Linked DNA regions of Drosophila melanogaster. The protein of the gene in region 1 interacts with the protein of each later gene in a pairwise test. Each region holds a gene or a part of one and is shown in the gene's direction. Other genes may lie near its edges. The genes, in order: CG11379, CG31365, CG4073 and RIC-3.

Region 1 (6,593 bases):
TTGTTTACCCTACTTTTATTGAAACTTTTTGCTCCTGCTTTAGCTGTTATTTTTACAAGTAATTTAAAAATTATTTTATGAGGGGGGTCCGCAGGGCTTTTCGCCGGGTGCGAAGTTTGCTTTATTGACATTGTCACCCCGGTTGAGCTCAGCTTGTCACATTGAAGCAACGAGCACCTGGACAAGGACAAGGATGAAGTCGAGGGAGATGACTACGGACTCTGGACTACAAATACCTCGGTAACGACAGGATAATAAAATTGTGAAACAACTTTTTAATGAGAAACACTTTTAGCACATTGCAGTGGCCAGTGGACGGATTCCCGGTAGTTGGTAAAATGTTGCTTCCGAGCCCCAATGACGGTTACCATAATGATGATGGAGTAGAAAACGCTGATAGCAGTCGACAGTTCAGTCTGTCGGTCCAGGACGCTGGGCTCACCTGTTGACGCAATATCAAACACCAAGTATCCACTTTTTGCGATCGATTCTCGCGCGGCGGAATAAAATCTTTTTCGTCGTCTGGTGAGTCGGTCTGGCTTTAACAATGAACATTTTGCGCCGCACTACTTCAAAACTGCAAACTTTGCGCCGTAATTGCCCAGAAAAGTAACACAAATGAAACGCATTGACGCTTAATTACTTTTGCTAAATGGCACGAGCCCGCCAGCCATCCTCCATCCTCCATCCCAACCCCTCCACGTCCTCGTCCTTTAAAAGTACTTTTCAAATGGAGTGGGCGAGGCAAACAGAAGGGAAAACGAGTGGGGATGGCCTGAAGGTGGAGCTCCATTTGCTCCATGCGGGTGTTTGGCTTCGGTTACGCTCATTTCTCAGCAATGCTTCGAATTTCCACAGAGTCTGTCTATAGTCCCCTCCTGGCAATTTACGGCATTCACTTGCTGACTGACAACGTCCAGAATGGTTGCTGCCACAACGCGTAACGAATCGTAATCAATGATTGCATTATGATTCATAAATGAAGCCCTAATTCACGCGCATGCAAGCAACAACTGTATTTACTCGTAAATCACTCGCATATGCATAGGTCATTAGAAATAATCTGGATCATATGTAGATACAATATTGTTGGAAGCGGGAAGCGGGCGGGTTGATATAAAAAAATATATATTAATTTATATTATTGCATCATGGTACTTCTAATACGGTATCTTTTAATTCCGCACCCCAAAACACATTCCCCTGATTGCAATCGTGCAGCGTCATGAACATGTGAGGCCTTCAGGGTGCTGCGAGTCGGCACGATTTGACTTTTGTCGACGTCACAATTTGGAGAAGTTTACCCACTTCTGGCGCCGCACAAACTTGGCCCAAAAAGTTGCCCTGCCACTTGGCAAATGCAAGTTTTTGATTAAAAGCCACCACCGCCTCCTGTTCCCACTTTTTTAGTTCCCAGTTCCAGCAGCCAGCAAAGTTGTGTGCCAGGTCTAGGGCCGGAGAAATTGTTAATTGAATGCATTTGGGGTCCTTGCAATGTTTGCCTGTGCGTGATATGGGGCTCTTTGCCAAGAGGGAGCAAATGAAGAAGCAGGCTGAGTTGGTGGCAGGCTGGAGGTGCCCAGGAGCAGCTGCTTCCCAGCTCGAAGTGCTCGCCTTCTCCCACTTAGCCAAAGTGCGGCGCAAATGCTTTGCCATCACTTGGCTAACAGACAAAACAGTATTGGTAGCGCGTTGTTTGCTAGGTGAGTCAAATGCATATATTATGCGAACAGTGTTGGTCCCACACCAGACCAGTGTTGAATAACTGATTTTCTTCGTATTTACAAATTTCTATTTACCCACATGTTCCACACCTCTCAGTGTTGCCGAATCATAGTGCTGATCCCAGAAAATTGTTGTGAAGGAAGCACAAAAGGGTCATTTAATCGCAATGTGGTGGCAACATGTGCCCCAATTCTGGAAACATTTTTGAGGCTACCTAGAGAACCTCGAGAGCATCCCCATTCCTCCCTAACGGATTTGTACAGGTGGTTGGGTGGTTGGTTGCATTAAAAATGCATTGGCCAACTCGTTTATTGTTGCTCCTTGGCAGAGCTTTGGTTTACTTTTATTTAGACGAGCTATTCGCTGGGAGAGCCTGATGATGCAAGCTGCAGCTGCAAGGATTCCACTCCATTTTGGGAGACACACACTTTTCATTAGCTCAAAGGAAGAAGCATGGATCGGAGCTCAGCTCAGGTGGAGAAGGTAAAGCCCTTAAAGTTAAGCGCATGGGAGCGGAACAAAAGTTGCCTTAAAGTCGTTGCCAGTCAATAATGACAGAGGATCCCAGAGGATAGGATGCCGTTTGGAAATGGTAAAGCGGATGCGGACGGGGATTCGAATCGGTGCTGAAGCTTCGGCCACGCCCACTCCGTGTCCGTGGGCGTGGCAGATGAATGAGAGGAGCACAGCCCCCCGAAACCCCGAAAAGAAAAGCAGAAGCAAAAGCAGCTGCAGATTTTCTATAAAAGCCGAGGCTAACGAGATTTGATGAATTGCAAGTCTTTGTGAATGAAGCTACAAGAAAGCTGCAGCATGAATAGCCCCGAGGCACCGCCAGGCCGCCTCCCACTCCTTGCGCTTTTCCATCTAACCCAGGTCCACATAAAAAAAACCCATTAAGTGGTTTAAAGCAGTGAAAAAGCGCACAGCACACAACAAGCAACACAGCAAAAGAAAAATGCAGTTGACATGAAAGCCAGCCAAAACGGGGCGATACAGGGATACAGGGATGGGGGTGGTAGGTCGGTAGGTAGATTGGTAGGTGGTGGAGTCAGACAGATGAACAGTACAGAACAGCACAGCACAGCACAGAGGAGCGGAGCAACAATGCTCACCCAGAGATGAGATAAGAACAGCCGCTGGAGGAGGACAAAGCAGCTTGACGAATTACTTGGCAGCTGCTCCTAGTGAAATCCCTGGGAGAATCAAGGAGCAGCGGGCGGGGCGGGGGCGAGCTGTGCGGGAAAGGACGAGGCGCAAGAAATTTAATTTGACCAACATTTTGATGTATCAAGTTCAGTTGAAGCCGAAGATTTATGACTTGCTGACAGAGCAAGCGGAGCAGCATCACCAGGATTGGGACGTCATGTCGGCAGAGAACAGTGCGGAGCAAGTGCATGCAAGAAATTTTATTCCATGCCAACCAGCCTAATCATTTTATAAATCATCTTGGTTTACCAGACGTACATATATATTATTGTACATATAAAGATCTGGAAGAGCTTATCTATGAGTTTCTCCATGATCATGCTCAAGCTTTAAAGTCCAAAAGTTGGAGCCGCAAAGCTTTGGCCGAAACAAAAATGAAAGTAAGCTGACTACTATCGAGCACATTTCCCATTTCCACTTGCCTCACGTAATGAGCCCACTGAAAATGAGGAAAACAAGGCCTTGACATCTGAGCCTGTTTGACTTGTGGTGATAATTGCAATTGGCGCGGTGTCTGTGACTTCAACTGTGACGCAGACAGTGACTGTGATTACACAAAGAGGAAACCTATGCCATTACCGATGGGGTATTCTGCCACGCAAGAATGCTGTATAAATCATAATATATAAATTATAAATTGAAAAGATAACATCGAATATATTAAATATTGCCTTTAAAAACTTTAACAGAGTTTACAACTTGCTTTTTGTATCACTTCTTAAAATAACAAGGAATACTTGTACACAAGTGTTCGGAGTTAACCAAGTAGTGACTGCTGCTTTAAAAGTCAGTTGAATAATTCAGTTTAAGGCTTTCTGACCCGAATTTACTCCCGTAAAACTGGAAGTGTACACCTAGGAGGACATCTGGAGATGGCTCGACTAATGGCCTTGATCATGGCGGTGTTGCTTCACTCGGTACTGGGCATCTCGTACTACTACTACTTTCGCGAATCTCCCGGCTCCGCTGCTCCTCTCTTGGGCGCCTGGCTCTTTTCCGCCTGCGTGGTGACCCTTCTTCACGGGGTGAGGATGTTTTCAAGTGCCCTGCCCGCCGATCAGCGGTTCAGGAATGGGAATCGAAACCTTCGCGGCAATGAGTCGTCCTGGGCATCGCTCTTACTGGAGACAGGCGTCTGCTGTTTGGTGCTGGATCTGACCCTTAGCAAACTGTGGCATCGCATAGAGTCCCTCTGCCAGTGCGCCATTGTGGGCATACTCCAGGCCTTGGCCGTCGAGGAGCAAACCTTCCTGGTCTGCGAGTACTGGACTTTGGGCCTGACTACCGGCCTGATCGGCGCATGTCTTCTGTGGCTTTCCCTATGGGCCACCGCGTTGCCCCAGAAGCTCCGCTGCGGGATGCTCGACTGGCGTCGCACCCTTCATCGCCGCTGCTCCGCGCTGATCTTCGGAAGTCTCGAGCCCGGCACTCCAATGCAGACCCAATCCCAGGGAAGCGCACAGAGCTTTGCCAATTGAGACGGAGGGGTGACCATTCCACTTCCACAGCCATATCACACTACCTCAGTCAATAGCTAAATTTATGGTTCAAATTATACTAAAAGCGTTTTAATAGGCACAGTGGGACACAACGGGCTGCATCATAAATTGAATTATGAATAACCATAATAGTAAATTTCGATTCAAAGCGTAGTTTCTTTTAGCTTCTTTAAGAAAAAAATAAACTCAAAAATCGAACATATATTAAATCGCAAGACCACTTTCTGACCGAATCCATGAAGCCAATTTGAAGCGGACAACTACCGGCCAAACTGCCAACCACTGGGGGCTGTCATCCCCCCGAAAAAGACTTGTAAACTCGTTAGCCGTAGCCGTACCCATATGCAATGCGGAAGAGGACCGATCCGAGATCCAAAAGCGACACGCCCCCAAACAACCGATTCGGTTTCGGTTTCGGATTCGGAAGACGGAACCCAGCGGCTCAAAGTAAAGCAAAGCAAGTCGATCGAAAGCGAAAACGAAACCATTACTCTGATGCGCGATCGATGGCTGTAAACTTGAACTTGAAGCGTAGCCAAAAGCGATGGACACCACGACGGCAAACAGCAACTGGCAACTAGCAAATAGCAACTGGCAACTAGCAACTTGCAACTTGCAACTAGCGACATGCAAGAGCCTGGCACACGCAACAATGCCGCTGAAATGCTTCCAAGGCAGTGCCAGCCAAATGCTGTTGCTTGCTGGCGCGCTGTCGTGTTTCGCACTGGTTAAAACTGCAGCCGCAGCCTGTTGCCAATTGCGGGAAATTGGTCGGGTCGTCGAGCGATATAAAAGCCTGGCTGGCAATGCAGCCGTGTTAATCAAAGCGCGTCGCTCGCCAGGAAAAGTGCAAGTGTTTTCCACGCTCCCAGGCAGCATTCAAACTCAAATCGCAGAGAAAATTCAGCGAGGTGAAATACGCATACTTTTTTTTTCTGTGCTTATAATAAAATCGAAAGGTGTTCCAAAATATCTGACCTTCGTGTTGCAGAATTAACTAAGCTGCTATAGCAGATATAGTTCAGTTACAAGTGCAGCTTACGATACAATTTTTCCATTTCGGATGCACTTCGCGTCCTGAAAATCAGCTTCGGGTATAAGCAGCAAAATGTTATTTTATAATATCCTTTGGGTTAACAAGTAAAATATATTATCGCAAATATTTTTCATGAACACGATCCCTTAACTTTTCTCTTATTCGCTACGTGTAGATGCTGTGCCACCGACACATTCACATCCATTGCCAGCTGTTCCTGCTGCAGCTCCTGGTGATGCCCCTACTTCAGGGTTCCCCCGTTTCGAGTCCGGAGATAGCTAGTAAGGGTTCCAAGTCCCCGAATGGCCTGCCACAGGTGCAACAGCAGCAGCAACAGCAACAGGAGGCCCACCTGAACTCGCTGAGTGCCTATGCCAGTGGCTATGACATGGCCCAGAACCAGGCTCAAGTCCAAAATCAGCTTCAGGGCCAGATTCCATCACAAACGGATCCGGCATTCAAGCCCTCGTACAAGATGCCCGAGATGGAGACCAACTTCACGCCCATGCAAACGGCGGGAACACCAAGTGTGTCCAGTTTACCGTCTACTCCCATGCTCATGCAGTATCTTCCGGCCCAGGCAATCCAGGATGGATCCGGAAACTCGGTTCAGTACCTTCAGCTGATACCCACCCGCCCGATCATAGTGCCCATTTCGCCGTACCTCTCGGCTGCCGCAGCAGCCAGCGGATCTCAACCTGCAATCTCCGCCGGCGCACAGCCAGACTTCGGAGGACGAACGGCCACTGTTTTGAGTGCTCTGCCGCCCAACTACGCAGCTCTGCAGGGTTACGCCAGTGGGTCCATCAATCCAGCCGCCGCCTTCCGCAATACCTATCGGATCAATCGCGAGGCCAAGGACAAACACTTCCCGCCCTCGTTCTCGCTTAATCTCAACGAGTACTTGCCAGCCGCCTCGTTGGGACTGACCGGAGGCCATGACGCCTCCGTCAATAGTCCACATGTGTATCTGCGGACCAGGTCATAGGATGTCAGCTACCGCCAAAGTCTCGCAACGTTCGAGCCTCTTTTTCTCTTCCGGAATAAAGCCTTATATGTATATATGTAAAGTGAGCCTGTGATTATTTTATGCAAGTCTATATCCCACTCAATTCAATCTAAGC
Region 2 (7,732 bases), on another chromosome or scaffold:
TTGGGATTTCTAAGCGGCTTTGGCTCGAGTTCGGCTTCGCATGCGGCTGATGCTGATCCCACGGCTAATCTTGCAGGGAAAACAAGATCACAATTTTTGTGCAAGCCGAAACAAAAACACGTCGACCGCTTGTTATTGATATGCCTGGCAGATCGCAGATTGCTGATCTCCGATCTCGGATCTCTGTTCAACGATCGCATTAGGTTCCTGGCTTGTTGGCGAGCCGCAAAAGGCAGTCCTTTCAGTCCTTTCGAGTCCATTGTTTCACATTGGGCTGCAACGGGCCAGCCCCGGATCTGTGAAAACCTTTTTGACTTGTTGGGCTTGGCAATTGGATGCTTAACGCCAAATTAGATTAGCAAACTAATGCCATTACCTGGGCGGCTCTCAGTAACCAAACAAGCAATCTGCAGATCAGATTTTAGATTGTGTAAAATACATGAACACCCATGCAAGCCTTTAAAGTAATCGTGTAACTACTCTGGATACGAATATTTATTATAACTTTCTATGAATATTTAAATAGCACCTTATATTTATTTAAAATCCAATTTTCTAACCAAATTCTTTCCTCTCCTACTTGCAGATTCGTCGATCAGTTCCCACGTGCACGGCTGCTTCACGCCGGAGAGCACAGCGCTGCTGGAGAGTGGAGTCCGGAAGCCGCTCGGCGAGCTCTCTATCGGAGATCGTGTTTTGAGCATGACCGCCAACGGACAGGCCGTCTACAGCGAAGTGATCCTCTTCATGGACCGCAACCTCGAGCAGATGCAAAACTTTGTGCAGCTGCACACGGACGGTGGAGCAGTGCTCACGGTGACGCCGGCTCACCTGGTTAGCGTTTGGCAGCCGGAGAGCCAGAAGCTCACGTTTGTGTTTGCGGATCGCATCGAGGAGAAGAACCAGGTGCTCGTACGGGATGTGGAGACGGGCGAGCTGAGGCCCCAGCGAGTCGTCAAGGTGGGCAGTGTGCGCAGTAAGGGCGTGGTCGCGCCGCTGACCCGCGAGGGCACCATTGTGGTCAACTCGGTGGCCGCCAGTTGCTATGCGGTGATCAACAGCCAGTCGCTGGCCCACTGGGGACTGGCTCCCATGCGCCTGCTGTCCACGCTGGAGGCGTGGCTGCCCGCCAAGGAGCAGTTGCACAGTTCGCCGAAGGTGGTGAGCTCGGCGCAGCAGCAGAATGGCATCCATTGGTATGCCAATGCGCTCTACAAGGTCAAGGACTACGTTCTGCCGCAGAGCTGGCGCCACGATTGAGATGGAATCCTGGAAGAGCGATCCTGATCCCAACGATCCTGTATTGTATTATATCCTGTAGTTATGTATATGCCTAATGATTGATGTATTTCAATGTTGAATATCGTTAATAATCGATCGATACTATTTATTTACCACCACAAATCAAAAACCCACACACAAAACACCCCACCCAAGCGATAAAGCAAAGAGCAAATGAGTATGAAATCAAAACGATGCGAAACGAAATGAAAACACTGTTAAATGTCCTTGACTTATTGTTTTTGCAAACATTTTAGCTGTAAGTAGGCAATCCTCGGCGCAGATCCTAAATCATCCTGAGAAAATCAATCGGCAAACTCCCGGAGAACACAGACGACTGTTACTGTATATTATCATGGAATTGAATTGCATAATTTATTGAGGTGCGGCGGCGAGTTCAAGCCCTTTGATATAATATATATCGTACTTTGTATATAGAAGAAGCATTATAGTGACTGAATATCTTATTGTAATTGTGTATATAATACTTAATAGTTAACTGCGTATTTATACTTAATATTTAATGAAATATAAAGAAATTGTTTGATAAATGAATGTGTGTTATTGCTGCATTTCAGGTTATTCAAATGAGCGCTATAGTATCGTTGTAAAATTTTGACTATTTGAAATTCTCCCGCCAAGCGCCTTGCTGAAATACGGGCACATCAATGGCAGAGCAGCCAGCCTTGAAATACTAAAATGCATTCTCTCAACCGCATGGCCACACTGAAAATATCGATAACAAATCGGCTAGACTTGTTGATGTTTCCTAGTAGGAAATTCCTCCGCTTCCAATTTTAGTTATTTGTCTTCAAATGTTTTTTTGTTTCATATTCTAAACTGGTTGCTTGGAAAGATTGCTAGATTGTCCATCATTCCGAATCGTGCCTAATCAGGTGTCCGGCTGCCACGCTCCGAATTGCCTTGAAATTCAACATGAATGTTTGTCGCCTGTGCTTGTCGAAGGAACCCAATTTCCCCGTTTTCGGTGCAAATGGATCGACTGCTCTGCAGATAATGGTCTGCACATCGCTGGAGATCGAGCCCGGCGACGGTCTGCCACAGCACATATGCACCATGTGTCGGCTGCAACTGGAGGAGATGCACTGCTTCCGACGACGCTGCCTCGCAGCCGATCGCAAATTGAGGCGCCACAAGGCGTTGCAGCGGCAGGGTGTCAAGTCGCAGCTGAGTGAAGTGGAGGAGGAGCGGGGCTCCGGGGAAGGATGCACGCAAACTGGCTGCGCCGAGAACAATGCCCAGTGGCGCCAGCAGGCCGCCCAGCTCATTAGCAGCGAGATCGACGCGTATAAAAAGGAGCTGCTCAGCACTTGCAAGCAAGCTGTGCGGGCGGAAATCGAGCTGGAGCTGCGGGCGGAACTCGAAGAGGTCATCATACCCGAAGCCAAGCAGCAGTTGCGACTGAGCGTTCTGGACGACGTGTTTGTCGAACTGGAACGGTACTTTGTGCGCAAGCGCAATGAGGCGACCTATGAGATGAAGATGAACTTAAGCAGTCCGCTGCCTGACGAACAGACCGCTGGCTTCTACGAAACAGACATGGGCCAGGAGCTAAGGGAGCAGAGCGATAACAGCGTGGTGGAGTTACTGGGTAAGACCAGCCCACTTACTTTGCAATTGCACGACTTATATATTTCTCAAATGTAATAGACGATGAACCAGAAGCCAGCAGACAGCCAGCTGCAACGCCACTAGTTGCTGTGCCCATGGTTGAGATCAACATGAACGACCCGCAGCTGAGTCATCTGCGCAACGACTATAGCAAGGACACCTTTCTGGGTGCCAACACAACTGCCTTAGAGGATGTAAAAACCCCATCGCCGTGTCGAAAGAAAGTGCGCTTTATGAGCCCCAAGCAGACGACCGATAACCTGTGCCGAAAGCACAGTTCCTTCAAGACAAAATGCAGCAGTTCGTACGCCGATTTCAAAAGTTGTGTGCGCTGTCGTCTAAGAGGAGCGGATAAGCTAAATAACACCGTGACGTAGCCACGTAACAACGAATTTAGTTTAATCCTCTATATTATAAGAATAGTACCTTTTTTTGTGCACGCATATTTGACTAAGCCATCACCTATTTTAATTGTCATTGTATTCTATTAAACTTTAAATATGCACATTCGGTATGCATTGGATTTGTATGAAAATCAATACCTTTAAACCTTACATTAATAAATTAAGTTATGATACGTTTATGGGCCGTATATATCAAATTGTTTATTTACGAACAGTGTGACTGTATTGCTTTCGTTTCGAGAGGAGGTATTTTTAGCGAACCTGTCTGCGGTCACATTGCTTGCGATGCAGAGACGCCACCGAGTAAATACGTTGATTTACCAAAAATAGACGCCTTCATGGATGCACAGCCGTCGTATCCCGATTTGGCGACCCTGTGCCGCCTTTGCCTCAAGGAGCACCAGGATGCGTACGCGATCTTCGACGAGGACGACACCCAGCTCTCGATACCCGTGCGCCTGATGGCCTGCGTCGCACTGGACGCCAAGGCGACGGATACTCTGCCGAAGAGGATCTGCCAGGAGTGCCGCTATCAGCTGGAGAAGTCATTCCTGTTCCGGCAGCGCTGCCAATGGGCGGAGAAGAAGCTTCGCAAGCATATCCGACTTCTGGGTCTCGGGAAGCGAAGCCGCGTCTTCTCCAAGGATCCGGACGATTATGACGAGGACGAGCTGGAGTTCGAGGACTCTATTGCCTTCATCGAGGTGCAGGACAAAGTGCGCAAGCTTGAGGACGAAAAGTGGCGAGAAGATTTTAAGGAAGAACAGGCGGCGGAAATGCACAAACGGCTGGTCAAATCTCGTCTAGAACTTCGAGCGAAACTGACCACCGAACTGCGCAAGGAACTAGCGGAGGAGGTGCGCAGTGAGGTTCGCAAGGAGCTGGCCGAGGAGGTGCGCAGCCAGGTTAGAGATGACCTGCGAAACGAGGTGAGCGAGGACATAAGAAAAGAGCAGCTGGCCATGCTGTTGGGCGAATTGGAGGTGTATCTTACCGAGAAAAAGGCCGGTCGGTGGGAGTCTTTGGATGGGTCCGAACCAGAGACCAAGCCGCAAGTCAAGGAAGATGCCTCCCCTTCTAGGTCAAAAACTAAAGCTCTTCCAAAGCGACGACCCAGCTTGGTCGACGCCAATCTAAAGGCGACAGAGGCCAGGAAGGATGCAAAAGAAGAGGAATTCATATTGGGCTGCAATACCGACCCCGCAAATAATAGCGATGTAAACATAGATGGCCTCGAACTGGACGAGGAAGTGCCCGCGGAAAGCGGTGAAGACTTCAGGGAAATCAACATGGTTGGATCAGATGTAGTGCACACAGACAATGGAGAGATTTACATCATAAACTCTGCCAGCTCAGAGGATCAAAACCAGGACTCCACTCCCGAATTTGACCAGGACAACGGAATCACCTCCTATAACAGTAAGTGGGTATAATTTGGCAAAAAAAATGTGAAAAAATTTTCATTTCATTAAATTCTTTGCTTAGTCAAAGAAGACGGCGAAATTCAGTTCAGTGGCGAAAAGCCAGAGGAAATCGAAGACGTGGTCGTGTTTAATCTGGGCGAGGAGATATCTCAGGAGCAACAGGTCTTCAGCTTCCATGAAAATGTCATTATAGTGGTAACTAACCGTGTGATTTTAAATTGAACTCGAATTCAACTTGGATCTTATTATCTGTAGGAAAAAGAACAGAACGATAGAGATGAGCAGACGCCCCTCAAACGAAAGAGATCGAGTGAGTTGGTGTTCAAGCAGGAGTCCAGTTGTCCTCAACCAAAAACCGGTCGAATTACGGACACGGTGAAGTCGTTCCAGTGCCATTTGTGCCCGGTGGCATTTCCTACGCAGAAACTTCTGACGCGCCACCACAACACCCACATTAAGGGACTGAAAAGTGGAAAGGGCGGCACGCTCAAGTGTCCCAGCTGCGCACTGCAACTGTCGTGCGCCAGCTCGCTCAAACGCCACATGATTATCCACACGGGCCTGAAACCCTTCAAGTGCAGCGAGTGCGAACTGTCCTTCTCCCAGCGCGAAGTGCTCAAGCGTCACATGGACACCCATACGGGAGTAAAGCGCCATCAGTGCCCCCAATGCTCGAGCTGCTTTGCCCAGAAGTCCAACCTGCAGCAGCACATTGGCCGCGTGCATATGGGCAACTCTCGGACGCACAAGTGTCATCTGTGTCATCGTAGCTTCAATCATGTTTCGGGCCTCAGTCGCCATCTGGTCACCCACGCTGGCGTCATGTTCTCCTGCAAACAGTGCGGCCGTCAGTTTAACGATCGCAGTGCGGTCCAGAGACATGTAACCACAATGCACAAGGTGAAGAACAAGCTCACAGACTACATATCCGAGACGAACGAGTTTCAAGCTGTGGCCTAGAATAGTCCCTGGACATGTTTTACCAATACACCGCAGATTGGACCACCATGTTTTACACCTGAAGAGACCAACTTTGATTGATCTGAATATTTTACAACTTTATTCGCGAACCTAGAGTGCTCACAACAGTTGGCACCAAAAATCATCAACATGATAGCGTTAAAACATTTAGAAACATGCAGCATTAAACAGTTTAGCAAACAAATACAAATCGGAACATTTGGAACAGCTCTGTAACAAGATACATATAGCTAGACGTACATTTTACAATATCGTTTAATAAATACCACATAAGACGATGTACAATTTTATAGGCAAATATACGTATTTTTAATAAACTCAACTGCTCTACGAATACTTTAAACTTAAGCTAATCGCCAAAAACGGATTCAAAATGCGCCTAAGAGAAAACGAACGATCGTGCCTGCCATTCGAATGCCAAATGCAATGAATAATATTTTCTTGTATAATCGGAAGCGCTTTTCAAATGAGATTACCAAGGGAAACAAGCCCGCAACGACATCCTTAGAGGTCGAAACCGTTTAACATTCCTGGTTAATGCGTTATAAAGCCAATAACAATCCAATATCACGCTATCCTAATAATTGGAACAAATTATTCCATAATATCCAGTAAGGTCCTAACTCTTGCGGCCCTTCTGCCACTGCTAGTCGGAGTTTGTAAGCGAGCTGCGCTGCGATTCGAGTGTATTTGAGTCGTGCCGCTGGCGCAGAACTCGCGTCTGGCTGGCTGGTAACTTGGAGAAGTCCTTCATTACGTTCTTGTACGTCTCATCTTCGCCATTGTACTCGTCGTTGGGTCCAATCTCGTCATTCAGTTGTGTCAATCGGAGTCTGAAACAAGAATGGTTATGTATCTGCCGGATTGAAGCTCTGCTTTCTTACTCACAGCGTTACAATGTCTGCGTTTTCCTGGTCCACTGCAATGTCCAGAGCCTTCTTTCCGTCACTGGAGGAGAGGTCGTATGCAGCTTTATGCTTCAACAGCAAATACACTTGGGCGATGTGACCCTTGGCCGTTGATATGTGCAGGGCGCTGTAGCCCATCTCGTCCACAGCATCGATGGCGGCTCCGTTTAGTAGCAAAAACTCGCAGGCCATCACGGAGCCGGAAATGACGGCCTGGTGCAGAAACGATCGTTGCCGGTCTTGGGGATTTTTCCACATCTTGTCGGCACCCAATGCGAAGGCCATGCACATCACTGGTAGATTGTGCACCACCGAAGCCATGTACAGCAATTGATTGGCGTCTAGCTGGGAGAAGGGCAGTTCCTCTGGCGACTCCGCATCTGACTCGCCATCGGTGCTCTCTTGATCGCTGCCCAGAATGCCGGGAGTCTCTAGTCTGTCAAGAGCCAGGTCATCGCCGATCACAAGCAAATCGTCGCGTGAAATGCTTAGTGACATCGAGGGAATGTTGATGGATTCATCATCATCGTCATCTTCCAACTCGTCGCCGGTTTTGGCTGTGTTATAGATGCTCGGATCATCGCTCAACGTTTTTGGGATCGAGCGCTGCTTCTGCCTTCGTCGAAGTTTCTTCACCGCCCACTTTCGCGTGCCGCCCAGCGACAGAGTAGCTCGCTTAGCGATACCACTGCCTCCACTCTCGCCGTCCTCTACCACGCCGCCACTGTCTATGCTCAGCACTTCGGCTGTCTCGCTGGCCAGCAGCTCCTGCGGTTTGGGCATACCGCAGACGAACCGCCGCTCCACGTACTTCGCCTTGATCCAAGCCTCGCGCACTCCGATCTCGCACTGCTCCGTGGGCTTTTTGAGCCCACAATCATCGCCGATGCGTGCCTCATAGATGCGGTTAACCACCTCGTTGCCGAGCTCCATCATTACCTTCACGTTCTCCGACTCCCAGGCATCCAGCGTCAGGGAACGCACCTTGCTGTAGTGCACACCCAGGCTTCTGTGCACTCCGGAGCACTCGATGCACAGGGTGATGCCCAAGTTAATGGAGGCCCAGCGTGGTTCGGGGCTCCTGCAATCGCAACAATATGCG
Region 3 (6,326 bases), on another chromosome or scaffold:
TAAATGAATTTGCTTCTTTAACGTCTTTGGTAAAATAAATACCATTTGTTAAAGGAAGCTAAGAGTGTGGTGCTTGAAGCCATAAGCTTTAATTTATAGTCAACATTTGTATAGAAACACAGAAAAAGCTTTCATGTTTTTTATTGTGGCACTTGGGGCTCCGGATTAACTTTAGCTTTAAGTTTAAATAAATTACTTGCTGTTTTCGAGCATTACAAATTAAACAATTCACTAAATTTACAACATATTTTCGACTCTTATTTTATTGCTTCTTAAAATTTTTAAATGCATTTTTTCTATTCTTAGTAACAGTGTAGTCTAGTTATATTCAAAGTAAAAATATTTTTGAAGTGTTATCATAAATGATATTTCATTTCAAAATTTAAGCTCAGATGACAGATAACTTTTTTTCATTCACACTTTTTAAAATGGCCCCTTATTATCACAGATAATTATTTAGTGAATGCCTGTTTACGCTTTTCAAGTGACACATTAAGTGGTGCTTTCAAACTAAATGAAAAACAACTTGGTCTTCTAGATAGAAATTAATGTTTAGTTCTTTCATCTTAATGAACTTAACTCGTTGCAAACGGATGATAGAAGGGGCTCAACAAAGGAGAAAAGAAAAGGAACCATAGTTATTTGCACCATTGTTTTCTTTGACATGTTGTCAACAATTCCAGGACTTGTTAAAACGCCGCTGAGCACTTAACGCTTGAAAGGCTCACATAAAAATAGGTGGACCATCTGCCTTTTAGCTTGAATATTTTCTATGTCCGGAAATTTTTTTATTTTCTGTACATTGGAAATAATAGTTCTAGAAGTTCCTGGTACAATTCACACAGTCCTTATGAATGTAGAACTGGTTTGAAATTACTTGGAAAAGGACAAGGACAATTCCCAGCTGCTTCTTGTTCTTCGGAAAGGGCTTAATATGGACAAAAAAAAAATATGTTGGACGTAGTTAAAGAAAACCTTAAGAGGGAAACGAAAACTGAAAAAATCATAATGAAGAAGTGAAAATACAATGAGTTTCGCTATTCCTTTGAGAAAAAATTCATTACATAGGAAATTTATATATTAATTATAGCTATGATGTCATTCATATTGCATCATCATTTGTTTAAAAGTAATTTATTGTCTATTAATTATGTAAAAATTTAAAGGGGCGGATTCCTATGCACCTTACTCCCGTTCTTATACAGTAATTTCGAAGGATAACTGCTTAAACAAACGTTTGCGATTAACATGCGTTAAGTACACAATTTCAGTTACATATGCATAAATAAGCATTTAAATGCGCCATGCCCCCCATGCGTAAATAATTTAATTGCATGCGAGTCGTCTCGAGTGTTGGCATACAAAATAAATTGCAATTAATACTCGATACGAAATCAACAGCCAGAACAGGTGCTAAAAGTTGCCTTTAATCATATTGTTAAATGTGGAAGCCCGTGTCGTGGCACATCACGTATACGCAATGTGGTGCAGAAGGCAACAGCATTTAAGCCAGAAAGTCACGAAAAGGGAAGGGAAGAACAGGAGAGGCGTGAAAATCTGAAAGAGCTGGAAAACCGGCAATAGCAACAGCTACAGAAACTCATCCAGATGTAACTCCCTGCTTTGTCGCCTGAAATCGTGCTTTGTCCTTCGCTCCGTTCATCTGGCTTCTTGAATGGCTCAGTCGGCGGCATTTATGGAAGTCTTGGTTTTTGCCTCGGCCTTAGGCAGCTCCTACCATCGTTGCTAAATATTTATTAGCCCTCTGATTTATTTGTTCAATTGCATGTCGCACGGTTGGAGGGCCACGGTATGATTTTGATGTAGGTACGTGCCACATAAGGCATATTTAATGTCTTCCCCCACCGAATGGTGTTTTAAATTTAAAATTTTTGCCGTAGGTAAGTGCTTTACAGGGCTTAAACATTCGTTTCTATATTTACCGCAAATGTCCTGCTTTATTTAGAAATACGATTTTAAATAATTAACCCTCTTTGAGCACACTTGCCCGGCTCACATGTCTCTAATAATTTCCTTCCCATGAATACTTAATACGTAGCCCTATTATTAACTTTCAAGGCTAAAGATTTGACAAATGTAAGCTGACACCCCTGATTAGATAGGGGGAATGCTTAGTGCTTATTAATAGAATGCAAGTATCTATTAAGTATTATTGTTGCTCAAATGCACAAGGATCTGCCAGTTCAATCAATCAAACAGACATTATTGATGGCACTTCATATTTCGAGCCATTGTCATGACAACCTCAGATGGACGTTTTAATTGGTTGGATAAGTAAATTACATTTACATTTTACATCAATTTTCTGCGGCATTAACAAGGTTGGTTTTTCAATGAAAGCATAAATAAAACATAAATTAATAGATCGAAATGGGAAATGTACGTATTGATACTAATTTATATAGCTGTCACATATGTATTCTTAAATGTATTTGCCTAAGGATAAATTCAATTCTTCCGCTTCAATAAATCTGTTGTACAGTTCACAGCTAAATTCAACTCATTCGAGCGTCAATAAAATCCGATTGTCCTTCTAATTGGATTTACTATGACTTCCTTACGGCACTTTGCCGTAATTTGCCATTTGTTCGTGTTGTGGTTTTCCTGGCTATTGGCACTGTCAGTTTAAATCTCTTAAAAGTTATTGTTGCTCTGAGTGGCAGGCCGATTGATAGGCATTTGTAGGATTTTTAATGCCAAAGCTTATTATGACAGCAAACTGGGGTAATAATATCGAGAATGCCCAAATTTCCTGATGCTGACATTTGTGTAAGCACGGTTTTAGATAAATACGCATATTGTCATCGATTATTGAGGATTAGAGAGCAGGCGAACAAAGCGCGATAATCTCTGACTCAATAACATATTCTAAAGAAAGCTAGGTAATAAGACACCACTTGGTTTCCTCTCCTCCAGGCAAGTTTTTTGCCCGACTCATGTTTATTTAATTCCTGACTTTGTTGTTTGGCTTTAGGCTGTGTTTGCCAATGTTTCTGCACGTGCTGGCTTTTCAGCGGCAGAGTCTAATTAAAATTCAGTAAAAGCCTCAGCCACAAAATGGCCCAAAAAGTTGGCCCTCAGCGCACACAGTTCGCCAGAGCTGAATACATATGTAAACACATCATCAGGTGCAAGGTGGGCCATCTTAATGAGTCTAGTGACAACGCAGCACGTGTCATTGATTAGCACTTCAGTTCTGGCCAGCATAATTCCCATTTAATATGCATGAGTATGCATATACTGCGCAGTGGTTTCATTAACAGAATTATACATCCAATCGATTCGTTATTCCATCACATATCAACACTAAAAAGTATCAATCATTTAACTGTATTAGTTTCAGTAGAAAAATTCCAATCGTTTATTTCAGTAGATCTAAATTGTAACATAACACTTTTTGCCCACAGTACACCCACCGCCTTGTTAATCAAATATATTCATATTTAATATACATGTTCATAGCACCCAGCAGGTTCCCACAACGGGGGTGGTGGTATCAACGCGCAGAAAGATGAGCAGGCCAAATCCCACGCCACGTTCATCGACGGGTCTACGCAAACCGACTGGTCAAAGATCAACACCTCCACCCAGGCCACCACCTCATGTTCCCGCTCCTGCTCCACCACCGCATGAGCCTGCGAAACCATATGGAGAATCCCCGGGCCTGCTGAGCCCGGTCGCATCGTCGGGTCCTTTGCGCCAACGCTCTTCTGTGCACCTGAGGAAGAAACACCTCGGTTGGGTCTACTTGATCCACGCGGTTCTATCGGCAAGTGCAGTAATTCAGCTTGTGGTCCTGCGGCTCTGCAATAAGGACTTCGGGGAGCTAATTAGCCCATCGGTGCCCAGCTTCGTGTGGCTGCTCCTGGCCGTGGGATGTGTGCTGATCATGGCCTACGTGTACCTGGCCAACCAGTGTCCGTGCAATGGTCTGCTGGCCATTGTCATCGTGGAGGTGATAGTGATATTTGTGAATTGCCACCGGTGGGCTCGTCTATCGATGCTCTGGATGACTGGTGTCCTGTCACTCGTGCTGGCCCTGAACGTCATGCTCTACTTGATGGGCGTCTATCTGCCGCTGAAAATACTGCCCGGTAGCATCTTCATGATCGTCCTCACATTCTGTTGCATAGCGATTGTCGTTTCGATCTACTTGATTGTGTATCTAAACGGCAATCGCTATATAATGCGATACGTCTCGATGGTCAGTCTGATCTACGTGGCTAGTCTCATCCTCTTCACCATCACCGTTATCCACCAGCGAAGATTCGAGCATACGGATCGCACCGAATATGTCCTGCAGGCCACCGTTCTGGCCATGCTGTTCGTCTATATGATTCACCCACTCTCAACTATGGTGCGATTTGGGCAGTTTTTGGTGGACCATGTATAATATAAAATTGTTGGAAGTGTATCATCATCTCTAATATAGTCTTAAGAAATGTAATATTGCCCAAATTCCTATATATACATATATATTGTAGCTTATTAGGTGGCTTTATTATTGTTAGTTTTAACTGGTTAACTAATAGCAGCAGGCTTATACAGTTCCGTCATGCTTTTATAGTTCCGTAATTTTTTACAAATTTATTCTTATTTGCTGACGTGTGCAGTTGTTTTGACCAACATTGGCAAGCCTTTAGGCCGCCGGGTTCAGTTCGGAATCCGGTTATCGAACTCTCATCCAGAAGGATGTTTGCATGTGTATTCATGAAGTGTGTATGGGTGTAGTTGCTCTTAGCGACAAGATCCTTTTTGTGGCCATTTCGTGTTTTATCTAAGTCCTTCTAGCCGATTACACAGACAGCCGGACAAAGGGAAACGGAAAGGACCCGCGGCAGAAATGAAAATAAATAATACCCGGGCCCAGCCATATTTTTATGAATTTTTCCATCTTAGCCCTTTGCAGTGCAAGGATATTTTTGGATTTGCCTTCGTTTGTTCACTTCAATAATTCTGAAATCATCCATATCCTCTCCTAGGGCCACTCAAAGTTGTATTTTCAGTTTGGGTTCAACTTATGTTAATTTTATAAATTCCATTTCCGTTGAATCGCTTTTAACTCTTTAAAAATAGTTTTCCACCAGCAGTGGCAGCAGCAGCAGGATAATGGCCTCCAGAGGGGCTATTTTCACAGACGAGAGTTTTAGTTGTTTACTGAACCACAAGTTGGACATTAAAATGCAGTCCAAGGGCAATGTTTTTTTTTGCCGGTTGTGGATGTAAAACAGTGCGGGCTTCTGTGAGTCCAAAACATGCATAGTATTTGTATAAAAGGTCTCGAAATTGTTTTGAAATAAAATGCTGTTTGTCTGCGACTGGTTTTTCATTGCCAGTGTTTAAATTTAATGCATAAAGTTAGTTAAATTTAAAATGTGGTTTAAGTGTATAATACTCTTAAGGGTTAAAATTCCTTGGTTTATATTCACCAATTAATTAAACAAAAACATCGTCCTTTTATGGTAAGCTTATTATTCATTATAAGTCATGAAAATAGATTGCCCAAGGTGGACATAAAAAGTTAGGTCAATGATTAACTTGACATCAACATGGTCGTTATAATCATCAAAGCAATGTGCTCCATGAGCTCAAATTAATCATTCAGCTGCAATGAATTCTTTGTCTCGAACCTTTGTTCTGCACATGTGACATCTGTGAAATTCCGTACATTTCGGTTCAAAAACCCATTTTCTCCGCTCCATTATGCAAAAAGTTTTTTTTTGCGGCTGTTCCTTGTGTCTCCGAATAACGAGAAGCGAATCAGCCGAGACATCAAATTAATTCATAAAATTGTCCATTTGTCCAACATATTGTGGCCAAGATGCCGGACGGATTTGGTCGGAATCTACGGCAATTAGTTTCACAAGTGCCGGACTCAACCATAGGGACCGTGTCAACCAGTGATGCGAACAGGTAATTTATAAAACATGCTAAAAGAACATGGTTATTGAGGACAGCCTCACTTTTATCCCACACATCGAAGCCAAAAGTCAAAAAATTATTTAAAAATCTTTAATATAACTTCATCCTGAAAAAAAAAATTTCCACACTAGTAGTGTTATGTTATGTTGCCAGATCCTCTGCTGCAGGATTTTTTTTCCCTATGACAACGCTTAGGATTCACCGCTAGAATGCCATGAAATCAACATTGCGATATAATAAGCCAACGGCAGGAAGATGAAGTATGGGTGCACAACTTGGATCCCAAGAGGCGGATGCCATAAAACGTGGAACACGTCAATAGTTTCCAGATGTCTGGCGAGGGCAGGACTTCGAGGAGGGGTGTTGTGCTCATGTCAAGTTAT
Region 4 (10,712 bases), on another chromosome or scaffold:
TTGATGAGGCTCTGGACGAAGATATCGACGGTGCGCCCCTTTCCGGAGAGGAAAAGGACGACGAGGATCTAGACGGAGTGCCACTAGATGGAGCTGCTTTGCTTAAGAGCGCCTTGAAGCGAGCCATACCTGATGCAGATGCTGGTACTCCAAAGCGTGACACACCTAAGAAAGATGAATACCTCGATGAAATCGATGGCATACCATGTAAGCATAAGAAAGTGATTTAAACCTTCTTACTACTAAGTAAATAATCCTTAATTCCAGTGGATGATGATCTCGACGGTGTACCGTTGGAAAAAGAAACCAAATCTACGGCTAAGTTGCCTGGCTTCATACCCTCAAAGTGGGAGACAGTTGATCCCCAGCAAGTAGAAGCGCAGGCGATTACCACCAGCAAATGGGACACTCTCGATCCGCCAGATCCACCGAAGTTCTTTAGCTCGGACGACGACAGTGGAGAAGACAATCCGCAAAAGTACACCGACGAGATGCGTCAGAAGTTAAGAGACATTGAGTCGAAAGCAATTCAGTACCAGGACGAACTGGAGTCCGGAAAGCGCCGCCTGGAACCAGGTTGGAGTGTCCCCGAACAAGTGGAACAATTCCGGAAGCGATTACTTAAACAGGTAAGATTTGTAACATACAGTAAGTCGGATGTAACAACTGAATTCTTTGCGAACGAACAGGACTCGCGATCTGAGGCAACTGTAGACTCCCCGCTCAGCTACATGCACATAAAATCCAAGAGCTCCAAGGTGAGTGAGAGTCCAGCGCTGTTCAGAAGCAGTTCCCGCAAACGATCCCACTCGCCGTTCTCTGGTGGCGAATCCAAACGACGTGACTATTCACCCGAAACCTCGCGCTCATCCAAATCCTCGAAACGCAATCGGTCGCGTAGTCCGTCCAGTTCACCGAAGCGGTATACAGAGCGGTCGTCTCGCAGCTCCCGCTACGAAACTCCTGCCTCCGGATCGTCGCGATCACGCAGTTCTCCAACCTCCTCGCGCTCCTCTCGCAGAGAAGAGCCATCGCCGCCGAGACATCGCAGCGACAAGCACAAGCACAAACATAGGCACTAGAGTGTCTGCTCTTCGGACGATTTGTATTTAATTAAACATGGATTCTACATAAAAACACTTTCGTCGTTTGTTTTAAATACACAGTATATATAATTTTAAATCTAAATCGTTTGTTAGGAAGTGGGACACACGCAAAACAGACGGCCCAGGCAGTTCGATTCCGCTCTGCGAATTTGTCTAAAAACATGAATCTAAGCAAGCTATCTTAAAATGGTTACGTTTTGTTAAGGAAAGCCGGCCAACCAACACCAGTCCTCGAACCGCCTGAGCCTGGTCATATAAGCAGTGGTGATTATCATAAGGTGAATACATAGATGTGGCTTAAAAGTAGATGCGAACAGCCTCCTCGGCATTCTGCTCCACGGGGCAGTAGGGGCACTTCAGTATGTGGCCAACACTCAGCTTGTGCAGGGCGTCGTTGGATATGACATGACCGCAGGTCAACTTCTTCGGCGGATTGTCCTCGGAAGTCTGCTGGCGCAATATGGGGCAGGCAAAGATCGAGTGGAATCGGAATTCCGGCTGCAGATCGATCTCAATGGGCAACTCGTCGCAGCCGTTCCACATGCCAAGGACTTGGCGCGACTGCATCACCTGCTTGATATTGAGCAAGGCGGGCAGGGCAGTGCATCCGGCATTGACCACAACAGACAGGGCGGAGTTCTTGCTAATGCCTAGCAGTTGGCATGCGTCTTTGAGGAATATGAACGACAGTTCGGTCCACTTCTCCTGGCCCAAGAAGTGCTTGTAAGGCGAGTTCTCCAGTCCACTGGGCAGATATATAAAGCTGGCCATCAAGTTGGCTATTTCGTGCTCATAGCGCACAGCAAACTTCTTGAAGTTCAGTCGAGCGTAGGAGATGGCCTCGCGCTGCGAGTCCAATCCGTAGGAGACCAGCTGCATGAAACGCATGCGGTGCAGCCGGAACTCTATGAGCGAGTGGCGGTCACTCAGCTGCTGGGAGTACATCTTTGCCCACTTGAGGGCGTCAGTCAGATCCCGCTTTTGGATCTTCACCCAAATGCCGTAGATGTCGGCAAACTCGCGCTCCGAGTCGAACACATCCTGGGCATGCTCCGGCGACATCTTGCACTCGCGGATTAGCGTGCGAGCCACATCGTCCATGCCCTGGCGACAATAATGCTTGGCAATGGCCTTGTTCAGCAACATCAGGTTCTCCTCGTCCTGCAGCACGTCCACTCGCATGGTGGACGAGAAGTCGGCGCTAAAGTTGCGGTCAATGGCCTTGCCGATCTTCGAAATGGAGCCGTGCAGATCGCGGTGCTCCGTGGACAGTTTTTGCACGCGCTCGTGGCACCTGGCGAGAGCATTCCGGACGCTCTCCACTTGGCGCTCGGTTAGGCGTTGTGGTGCCGTCGGTTCCGTCTCCACCTGCATGCTCACCGCATCGCCCATGGGATCGTCCTGGGACACCTGGGTGCTCGAGTTCAGAGTGGTCACCAGCTGCTCCGCCCTGCTGAGAACCTCTACCAGCTCCGACATCTGTGTGGCTATATCTCCGATGTCCGCCTCTGCGTTCTCGTGAAGCTGCTCCAGTTTGCTGACCACTCGGGTCAGGTCCTTCTCCACCGACGAACAGGCCAACGACTCGCTGTCCATTGTTAGCTCCAGTTTCGTGGGGTGAAAGCCTAGAAACCAGTCACGCCAGGCGCGCGTTCACTTTCGATTTTACAACCTTTTGCTTTCGAGGATTGATAGCACTGTGATTCTTCAAAGTCACGACGATATTCGGTGGTCCAGCGGAAAATGCGTATTTATAAATTGTTAATTTTATAACACAAAGAAGACGAAAACATTGGAGCTGGGTGGACCACTCACGATGCTATCGATAAATCGAATAATTTTAATTTCGATAAAGGGCAACAGTGCTGAGCGAATTAATATTTGTATATTCCGCATTTTACGTATTACCGTTATATTGGATCCTTAGTTGATCCTTAGTTATATATAGTTAGTCTAGTTTAACATCATAATAATGCATAATAAAGTAACCATTTTACGAACCAAATATATATTTGACCTTTATATATTAATAATAATGTGATTCCATTTAAAACAATTACAAATATACAAAAATTTATTAAATCCCATAAGCCTTCTATCAGTGTAAAGGATCCGTTAACTTTAAACGATAGAAAAGTATCGATAGCACTCGCATGCATCGATTGACAGCCAATGCTGCCCATCTCCGTTCGGTCGACTGAAAAATCAATTATTATTGCTGCTGCTTTCTGGCAGAGAAACTTATAACGACAAACAAACAGTTTGAAATTAGCGTAATTAGATAAGAAAACGAACTTTGAAACCAAAGGTGTTAGTCTTTAAAAACGAAACTGATAATTATTTAAAAGGTACCTCAGAACACGAGAGCAATTCCAAGGACAAAATCTCCACACTTTGAATTCATAATTTTTAAAAATAAGTGATGAGTCTTAAGCCGAACGGCATTGAACCCAAATTACAAATGCTGTGCCTCCAAAAATAAAAGCGCAGAGAGCTCGAAAAACGTTTTCCAAATTAATGTAGACAGTGACAAGAAGAGGGAAATTTTTAAAATAAAAGTGGTGGAAATAAGAAGATGCTGTGCAAATAACAGACGTGCATAGTAAAAACAATTTTACTTTCGCCACTTTTCAGTCAGTGCGCTTGAAAGCGAAATGGAAAACGGTCGGAAAACTCATAGCACTTGGCAGTGTGTGTGTGCGTGTGTGATAACAAGAGCGAAGAAGCTGCGAAATGAAAAATATGAAAACACGAAATTTCGCACACAGTGCTGGTCAGCAAAACAGCAGCAATAGCTCAAAAAATTAAATTTAAAATTATATTATAAAATTTTTTTGCTGAAATATTTCAAATTAAGTTTGCCCAATTTCCCAAGCAGTTATATGTATTTTGATTTAAAATCTATTTCCGAAATGAATTAGAGAGCATTAATGTTATGTCGGCTGCTGTAGCGTAGCTCTCGGAAATTCCCGGTGCAGGCCCAAGCTGCAAATCACTTGTCTCATCAAAAATAAAGGAAAATAATGGCCGACGACGATTATGGGGAAAAGCGCGCCCGAATGGTGTGTCGGGTCTTCAGATCTGATCTGCCGAAAATTCGCTAATAGTTTCAAAAATTTGCCTGGCCAGTTCGGGAACAACATTCGAACTTTGCGTAAGCAGTCGCTCTGTCCAGTTTTCTGTTTTCATTTTTTTTCGAACCCTTGGTCGTTCAAAAACCGTTTTCCAAAAGCGATACGAAAGCATTTTCTTTTGGAGAAACGTTCAATATTATTTATGCGGTCGTTAATTGTGATTTGTGCGGTGGGAAAAGTGAAAATAATAAAGAATTATTAGACGGGCCGAAAAGAGCGAATTGCGCGAGCTAAAAATAAAAAAGATCGGGACCGCTATTTATGTAATAAACTTTTTTGTTTTCCCGCAACAATATTCAAACGTATACAGCATTTTGCGCTGCGATTCGTGACCGATCAGTGATGTGAATACAACTCCAACGAAAGCCGGAATCAGCGAACTGTAGCGTGTAACCGATTATGCATCTATGTATCTTTCAGATAATGCTTTAAACGTACAGCAAATCAACCATTAGCCAGCCAAAATGAGCCAATGCCAAAGTTAAACAGCAACTAGAAACACAGCGCATAGTCAACAGCTCGCAGGGAGCCATCAACGAACCAAATCGATCAGGAACACATAGCAGAGTTGCCTTAGGGACTAGCTTTAACCACGAACCCATAGCCAAACGAATCCAGATAGCCCACGGAATCCGCTACCAAGCCAAAATGCCCGCTACAGCCACATCCAAGCCGAGAGCTCCGCTCGTCGAGGAGGGCATGACGCCCAAGAAGACCGCCCTGATCATCGTAACCGTGATCGGATGCATTGCCATCCTGTGGCCAAAGGTCTTCCATCCCATGATGTTCGGAGGAGTGCCTCCAAGCCAGCCAAACTTCAAGGATCCACGAGCAGCACCAGGCGGTAAGTCATCAGATTCTATTCACCACATTAGGAGCTAGGGCTTATAAATGTTGTACTTTACTTAATTTCATTTATCATTTATTATTTATGAATTATCATCATGATTTTCTTTTGATTTCCGTATGTGGGTGTTGTTGTTGTCCGGTCGATGTTGTAGGATGTTGTGATGTCGTCCTGGACAGGGAGCAGTTTCTGAATGCCACGAAGAAGGACACTGTCGAGCCCTTCGGTCCGCATTTGTATCGCAAGCAAATCAATGTTTACACGGGCGAAATAAGTATGTGGCTCGATTATTTATAATTTGCTTATTGGTTTTACTAACGGTGTTTGGCTCTACTAACAAGATTGTATCTACATGAAACAATCGATTGAGATACATTTAGATTCCTAACCTTTACGGTATTAATGAGTTTATTAATGTTTGGGTTTCTAAAATGTAGTGTTTATGTCAATTAAAAATTTGATAGTTTAATTGTGTTACTAATGAATCCATTGTGGTCGCAGGTCTGCGCCAGGAGCGTCCCGCCCACCTGCATCCGGAATCCATATACCAGGCCATGAGGGAGCGGGGTCGCGCCATTCCCGCCACGCCCACCGTGCCGATTCTAGAACGAAAGACTTCGCCCAGTAATCCGCCTCCGCGGATTGTCGACGGACGGGTGAGTTGGGCTACTATACATTTAACCATACGGTGTGCATTATTCTCCGGACGATAAATCCATAATTATAATATATATAGTTATACTGGTCGGCGGGCTGTGGTCGATGTGATTATAATGACGGCGGGATGAGACATATCCGCGCTCGCGTTGGAAGTCATTTATAAATAGCCAAACGTTTATTTTATTCGGATTCGGGTTTTGTTTTTATGACACTGCACGCAAATTGAAGGCAAGAGACAGCGCTAAAGAAAACACAAAAAAAGAATTTGTAAATGATGAGTGGGAGATCGGCCGAATGTGCTGCTGCGTATTGAACTTGTGCCAAATTCAGTGCGCCAGTTCCATTTTGCTCTCATCGCTACTAGAATGCTAGAATGGCCGGGGAGCACAAATCAGCTGTCCTCGCCTCATGTCAAAATACAACGGGGCGGATACGTAATTTTAATGATTACATGGGTTGTCAATAAAACACAATCGATTCCCTTCTCCTACAAAGACATCAATTCAAAAGATTTCGAAGACAACTGTCTTGAGTAATCTTTATGTCAATATACATCGCGGCGGATACGTAATTTTTATGATTACATAGGACAATAGAATATACATATTCGATCAGTTCAAAAATATCTAAAGACAATTGACTTAAGAAACCACCGGGGCGTATACCTGATACATTTAATATGACCTTGATTGTTGGCGGCATTCTATTGTATTTCAGTAACTTTTGACATATGTATGTACTTTCTAGCCTGGACCCATTCCTGGAATGCGTCCACCCATGGGCGCCGGTGCACTGCATCAGCCACAACAGCGGGGCAGCAGCATGGGCTTCCTAATGCCACTCTACACCATTGGCATCGTAGTCTTCTTCGGCTACACCCTAATGAAGGTGACTCTCTTTGATCGTATATATGTAATTATAATACTATAAAACTCTTACATGCAGATTATGTTCAAGAAGCAAGTTCCCAATGATCCGTACGGAGCGGCGCCTCCAAATCCTGCCTTCCGGCAGGAGGTCTTCGGATCACAGAACCACAGCCAGGTGGAGGATTTGGGCGGCAGCAAACTGGGTGAGTGCCAGGCCAATTCGGATGCCATCTTCCGGATTATTACACTCGTAGTTGGACACACACACACACAATCGCTCTAGCCACCGCACTCACGATTCAATCCTAACCGAAAAAAAATCGCATTTTGTACTCTTCTGCTTCCAAAAAAACCCATGCACACCGAAAATCATGCCACGGTATCAGGCTGGCGAGAGCATCAGACAAGTAAGCCAGATATATATAGATGGTTGCATAGATGACCATAGAGTTTCGTTCGTATCTTGAGTTTCTAGACCTCGACAAAGGCCTTTTGAGTTTTGAAATATGTCCTCCTCATTTGGTATCGTAGTATCGTAGCGACTATGTGTTCTATTTCATTTACCTAGATGTACTCATTCTAGATGTTGTGTGCCTATATACTATTTATAAATATATATATATACTAACCCCGAATTGATCACGCTTCCATGGATATATACATTTATTTTGTTGCCACTCCTGCACCCGTGTAAATACTCCTTAGTTTCGTTAGTCCCTCGATTGATTCGATTTCCGGCCCTGATTACCAAACCGTACGACAATTTTATAGGAGCTGCCACCGCCACTGCCGCCGCAAAGAAGCCGGCCGCCAAGGACACCGAAAAGGAGCTGTACAACGCCAGTGTGTCGGCCACCGAGGTGGCGAGCAGTTTGTCCGCCTCTCTGAAGAGCCACCAGCAGCTGAAGGAGGCCGAGCAGCTGATGGAGATCGAGAAGCTGCGCCAGAAACTCGAGAGCACGGAGCGGGCGATGGCCCAGTTGGTGGCCGAAATGAACACCGATCAGTATGAGGCAAAGGTTAGCATCCAGCATCCAGTATCCAGTAGCTTCCTACCATCGTCATCGAATCGGAAAAAAGCAGATACAGATACAGATATAGCTATACAACGCGACTCAGATACATCTAGTAGCACATCATATATCGTAGTGATTTCAGTTGGACCATCTCGCTGTCATTTGAATTAATATTTGATCTCTTTTGTGTTCTCATTTTCAAGATGATTGCCCTCAAGTTTCTCAAGCGGCAGCCAAACTTCTAAGACAATAATAACCATCATTCAGTTCACATAGAATCAGTCAGTAAAACAGACCAAAATCAGACCAACAACAACTCAGATCACAACTAAGTACAACGAACAAAGTCAACTAGATTATTTCTGTTTTCAATTGGTTTCTAGTGAATAGCTGAATCCTCGGAATGGTTTCTTTTACCCCCCTGCCACATCCTCCCCCCCAAAAAAAGCCTTCAGTTCTAAAACTATGTCACTCTGTCCTTAATCTTCAAGTCTAACAAGTGCATGGAACGGAATTCTCCCGACTCTGTTTCTAATTTAACCTGCTTGTCTGCTGTCGGCATGCGATATATGCATATATATATATATATATAAACATATCTTTTCACATACTCGTATCTACTAACGAACCCAGTCTAAATGTGTTTGCATCTCACTGAGTACTCTCGATCTGAACTAAACTAAACTCTTATGATGGGGACATATTTTACGATTCAAAGCAGTCTTATTCGAAATCTATTCGAACACTATACGTAACTTTACATTGCCAATAAAGATAATCGCAAACATCATTTCATACTCAGAGCTACAAAGAAACAACTATATAAATATTCACTCTCTGTGTCGTTTCTACGTTTTTCATGTTTCTCGCAAAAACACAAAAAAAAAAATGAATGTAAATCCCAAATTGATACCCTGTACTTTCATGGGGCTAGTTGTTACGGCCATACAAGGTTTGATAGACGCGGCCGACGAGCAATTGAATGGCCAAGACAAGCAGAGGGCGACGAGCGACACTGAAACTGATTCGAATAAGGTTAGAGACCTTCAAAGGGTCCGGCACGGCAATCCTTGAACATATAATTTGTAACAAGAACTTAATCTTTTTGTTTATTAACCAAGATCCTTCGACTAATTGAGTTTTGTTGCGTTTCACCTAACCACAACGAATTGAAGTAATTAATGCGTTCGATTTCTGATTTCTTGCGTTTTGAGGCTGTATAGAATTGCTTAGCTCTCACATTCTACTGACTGTTTCGAGAGTGTCCTCTCTAACCGTATTATATCCTGTGTATCCTGTGCAGAAAAACGACAACGAAAAAACGAGGGAGCAACCACTAGACAAGCAGAACCTATCCAATGGACATGCAAGCAGCACCGACCAAAATCCGGAGCAGGAGACCGTGGCGAAGGGAGCCAGGAAACGGCGGGATCTAAGCGCTGAACAGGAACTGACGGTATGCCATTATATACCCTGTATAGCACCTTTGAGTACGTAGATCTTTGCCGTAAATAATCGAATATTGGTGCAGGTACTCGGCATGGAGTTAACAGCCAGTTGCGAGGGCGGCCACAAGTGGACTGGACGCCCTCCAACGCCTGTTTTCCGAGCGCCAAGCGAACATGTAAGTGCCACTGACGCACAGACCCCCCACCACTTTCAAGTTCTCAACTTAACTAGACTAGTTTCGACTAACTGCTACCCTAACGCTTTCAATATATCCCTACAAAAAAAAGTGATTAAACTGGGATGTTTCCTACGCTCTCAACCTCCTCTGCGCATATGTGTTGAAGCTTTTAAATATGTATATCAGAAATACTAAATAGAATCCCTCTTCGATTTCAGTCCAAATTGGAAGACAACTTGCCGGAGCCGCAGTCCATTTACTTGGAAGGCGCTTTGGCCCATGAGTCCCAGATTTTGGTTGCCGACTCCCAGATCAAACGCGAAGAAGTCTACGACTCGGAGCTCAATGGCTCAGCCGAGGAACCAGCCGTATGGATAAGCCATTCTACTAAACTATATCAATTAATTAACTTAATTAACTTGCAGATCATTCTTAGCAGCAGAATGACATTGTCATTGATTAATTTGGACGCAAATCAACAAAATGGAAATGCAGGCAAATCCGCAGTGGAAAGTCCTCTGGCTGATGACATCGAAATAATTGGACACGACGAGCAGTAGATCGATTTTTATATATATATAATTTGGCAATGAACACGACTTGATTCAGACGAAACTAACTAATTGCAAGGGCCGAGTGAAATTTCGTTGCTAATTTCGTTGAACGACGAACATTATGACTGATTGCCACGAAACAGATTTGCCAATAATTTGATATCTGATTTGTATATATATACATATTGTATGTTTTGATATCTTCGTTTTGATTTTAAAACGCCAACGTTGTGTCTACTCCCTCTAAAGTAAACCTTAAAACTTTATGCTCTTGAAAACCTTAATCATTTTCGGTCAAAACTTAAAGCCAAACTTGCATGTCTAGAAAACTCTTTAGCTCGTTTAGAAAACCGCGTCTTTGTGAACTGCATGATTTTGTGTGAATACTCTTAGTTGAAAGTCAATGCAAAACTAGTCTACCATTAAGCTAAGCGCATATGTATTTCAAGCCGCATCGTCTAATCAAAATCCGTAGCTACTTGGCAATGAAATTACCTTAAAAAAAAATCCAATCGATCGCACGTAAATCGTATGATTAAACAAATAAAGTTAGTGCCACGGCGTTTGTGAACCTAGTATAATGAATAAATTGAAAACCGAACTTGACATCCACATGTGTTTTGAATTTTAAATTAATACATAGTTATAATGAAATTTCATTCCTTAATATTTTCCAATTATAATTTTCTAAAAAATTAGTTTTTCAAACTAACAGTGCTGTAACATTTTGATTAACAGAATGCGCCTTACAGCACAAAGAGTGAATTTTTCCTTCTGCTCGTGTGTATACACTGGCGAACAGCTGTTTTTTGTCAATCTCCGCCACAATAATTACGTAAATTTCGGCAGGTTAGCAATTTTTTGTATATTCCACAGTAATTCTGCGCAACTTACCACTA

The links.
Region 2: the proteins of CG11379 (region 1) and CG31365 interact in a two-hybrid assay, tested with the Drosophila melanogaster proteins (one large-scale study listed by BioGRID).
Region 3: the proteins of CG11379 (region 1) and CG4073 interact in a two-hybrid assay, tested with the Drosophila melanogaster proteins (one large-scale study listed by BioGRID).
Region 4: the proteins of CG11379 (region 1) and RIC-3 interact in a two-hybrid assay, tested with the Drosophila melanogaster proteins (one large-scale study listed by BioGRID).

Annotation. Positions count from the first base shown.
Region 1 is NC_004354.4:1,176,458-1,183,050, forward strand, and holds CG11379 (uncharacterized protein), read left to right. Parts: upstream 1-3,707; 5' UTR 3,708-3,806; coding exon 3,807-4,412; 3' UTR 4,413-5,094; downstream 5,095-6,593. Other genes in the region: CG14627 (uncharacterized protein), read left to right, coding at 5,645-6,457.
Region 2 is NT_033777.3:23,122,266-23,129,997, reverse strand, and holds CG31365 (uncharacterized protein), read left to right. Parts: upstream 1-3,575; 5' UTR 3,576-3,655; coding exon 3,656-4,736; intron 4,737-4,802; coding exon 4,803-4,936; intron 4,937-4,996; coding exon 4,997-5,701; 3' UTR 5,702-6,036; downstream 6,037-7,732. Other genes in the region: hh (hedgehog), read left to right, coding at 587-1,260; CG31457 (uncharacterized protein), read left to right, coding at 2,218-2,893, 2,953-3,290; CenB1A (centaurin beta 1A), read right to left, coding at 6,369-6,555, 6,611-7,732.
Region 3 is NT_033777.3:10,711,399-10,717,724, forward strand, and holds CG4073 (uncharacterized protein), read left to right. Parts: upstream 1-3,399; 5' UTR 3,400-3,532; coding exon 3,533-4,414; 3' UTR 4,415-4,503; downstream 4,504-6,326.
Region 4 is NT_033778.4:21,014,499-21,025,210, forward strand, and holds RIC-3 (RIC3 acetylcholine receptor chaperone), read left to right. Parts: upstream 1-3,285; 5' UTR 3,286-3,454; intron 3,455-3,646; exon of another isoform or gene 3,647-3,770; intron 3,771-4,233; exon of another isoform or gene 4,234-4,260; intron 4,261-4,564; exon of another isoform or gene 4,565-4,584; intron 4,585-4,660; 5' UTR 4,661-4,888; coding exon 4,889-5,084; intron 5,085-5,241; coding exon 5,242-5,361; intron 5,362-5,588; coding exon 5,589-5,743; intron 5,744-6,494; coding exon 6,495-6,635; intron 6,636-6,692; coding exon 6,693-6,819; intron 6,820-7,002; coding exon of another isoform or gene 7,003-7,023; intron 7,024-7,387; coding exon 7,388-7,635; intron 7,636-7,835; coding exon of another isoform or gene 7,836-7,877; exon of another isoform or gene 7,878-7,964; intron 7,965-8,566; coding exon of another isoform or gene 8,567-8,667; intron 8,668-8,935; coding exon 8,936-9,088; intron 9,089-9,163; coding exon 9,164-9,256; intron 9,257-9,477; coding exon 9,478-9,627; intron 9,628-9,684; coding exon 9,685-9,819; 3' UTR 9,820-10,420; downstream 10,421-10,712. Other genes in the region: CG9346 (uncharacterized protein), read left to right, coding at 1-207, 268-629, 690-1,082; Sou (souji), read right to left, coding at 1,404-2,702.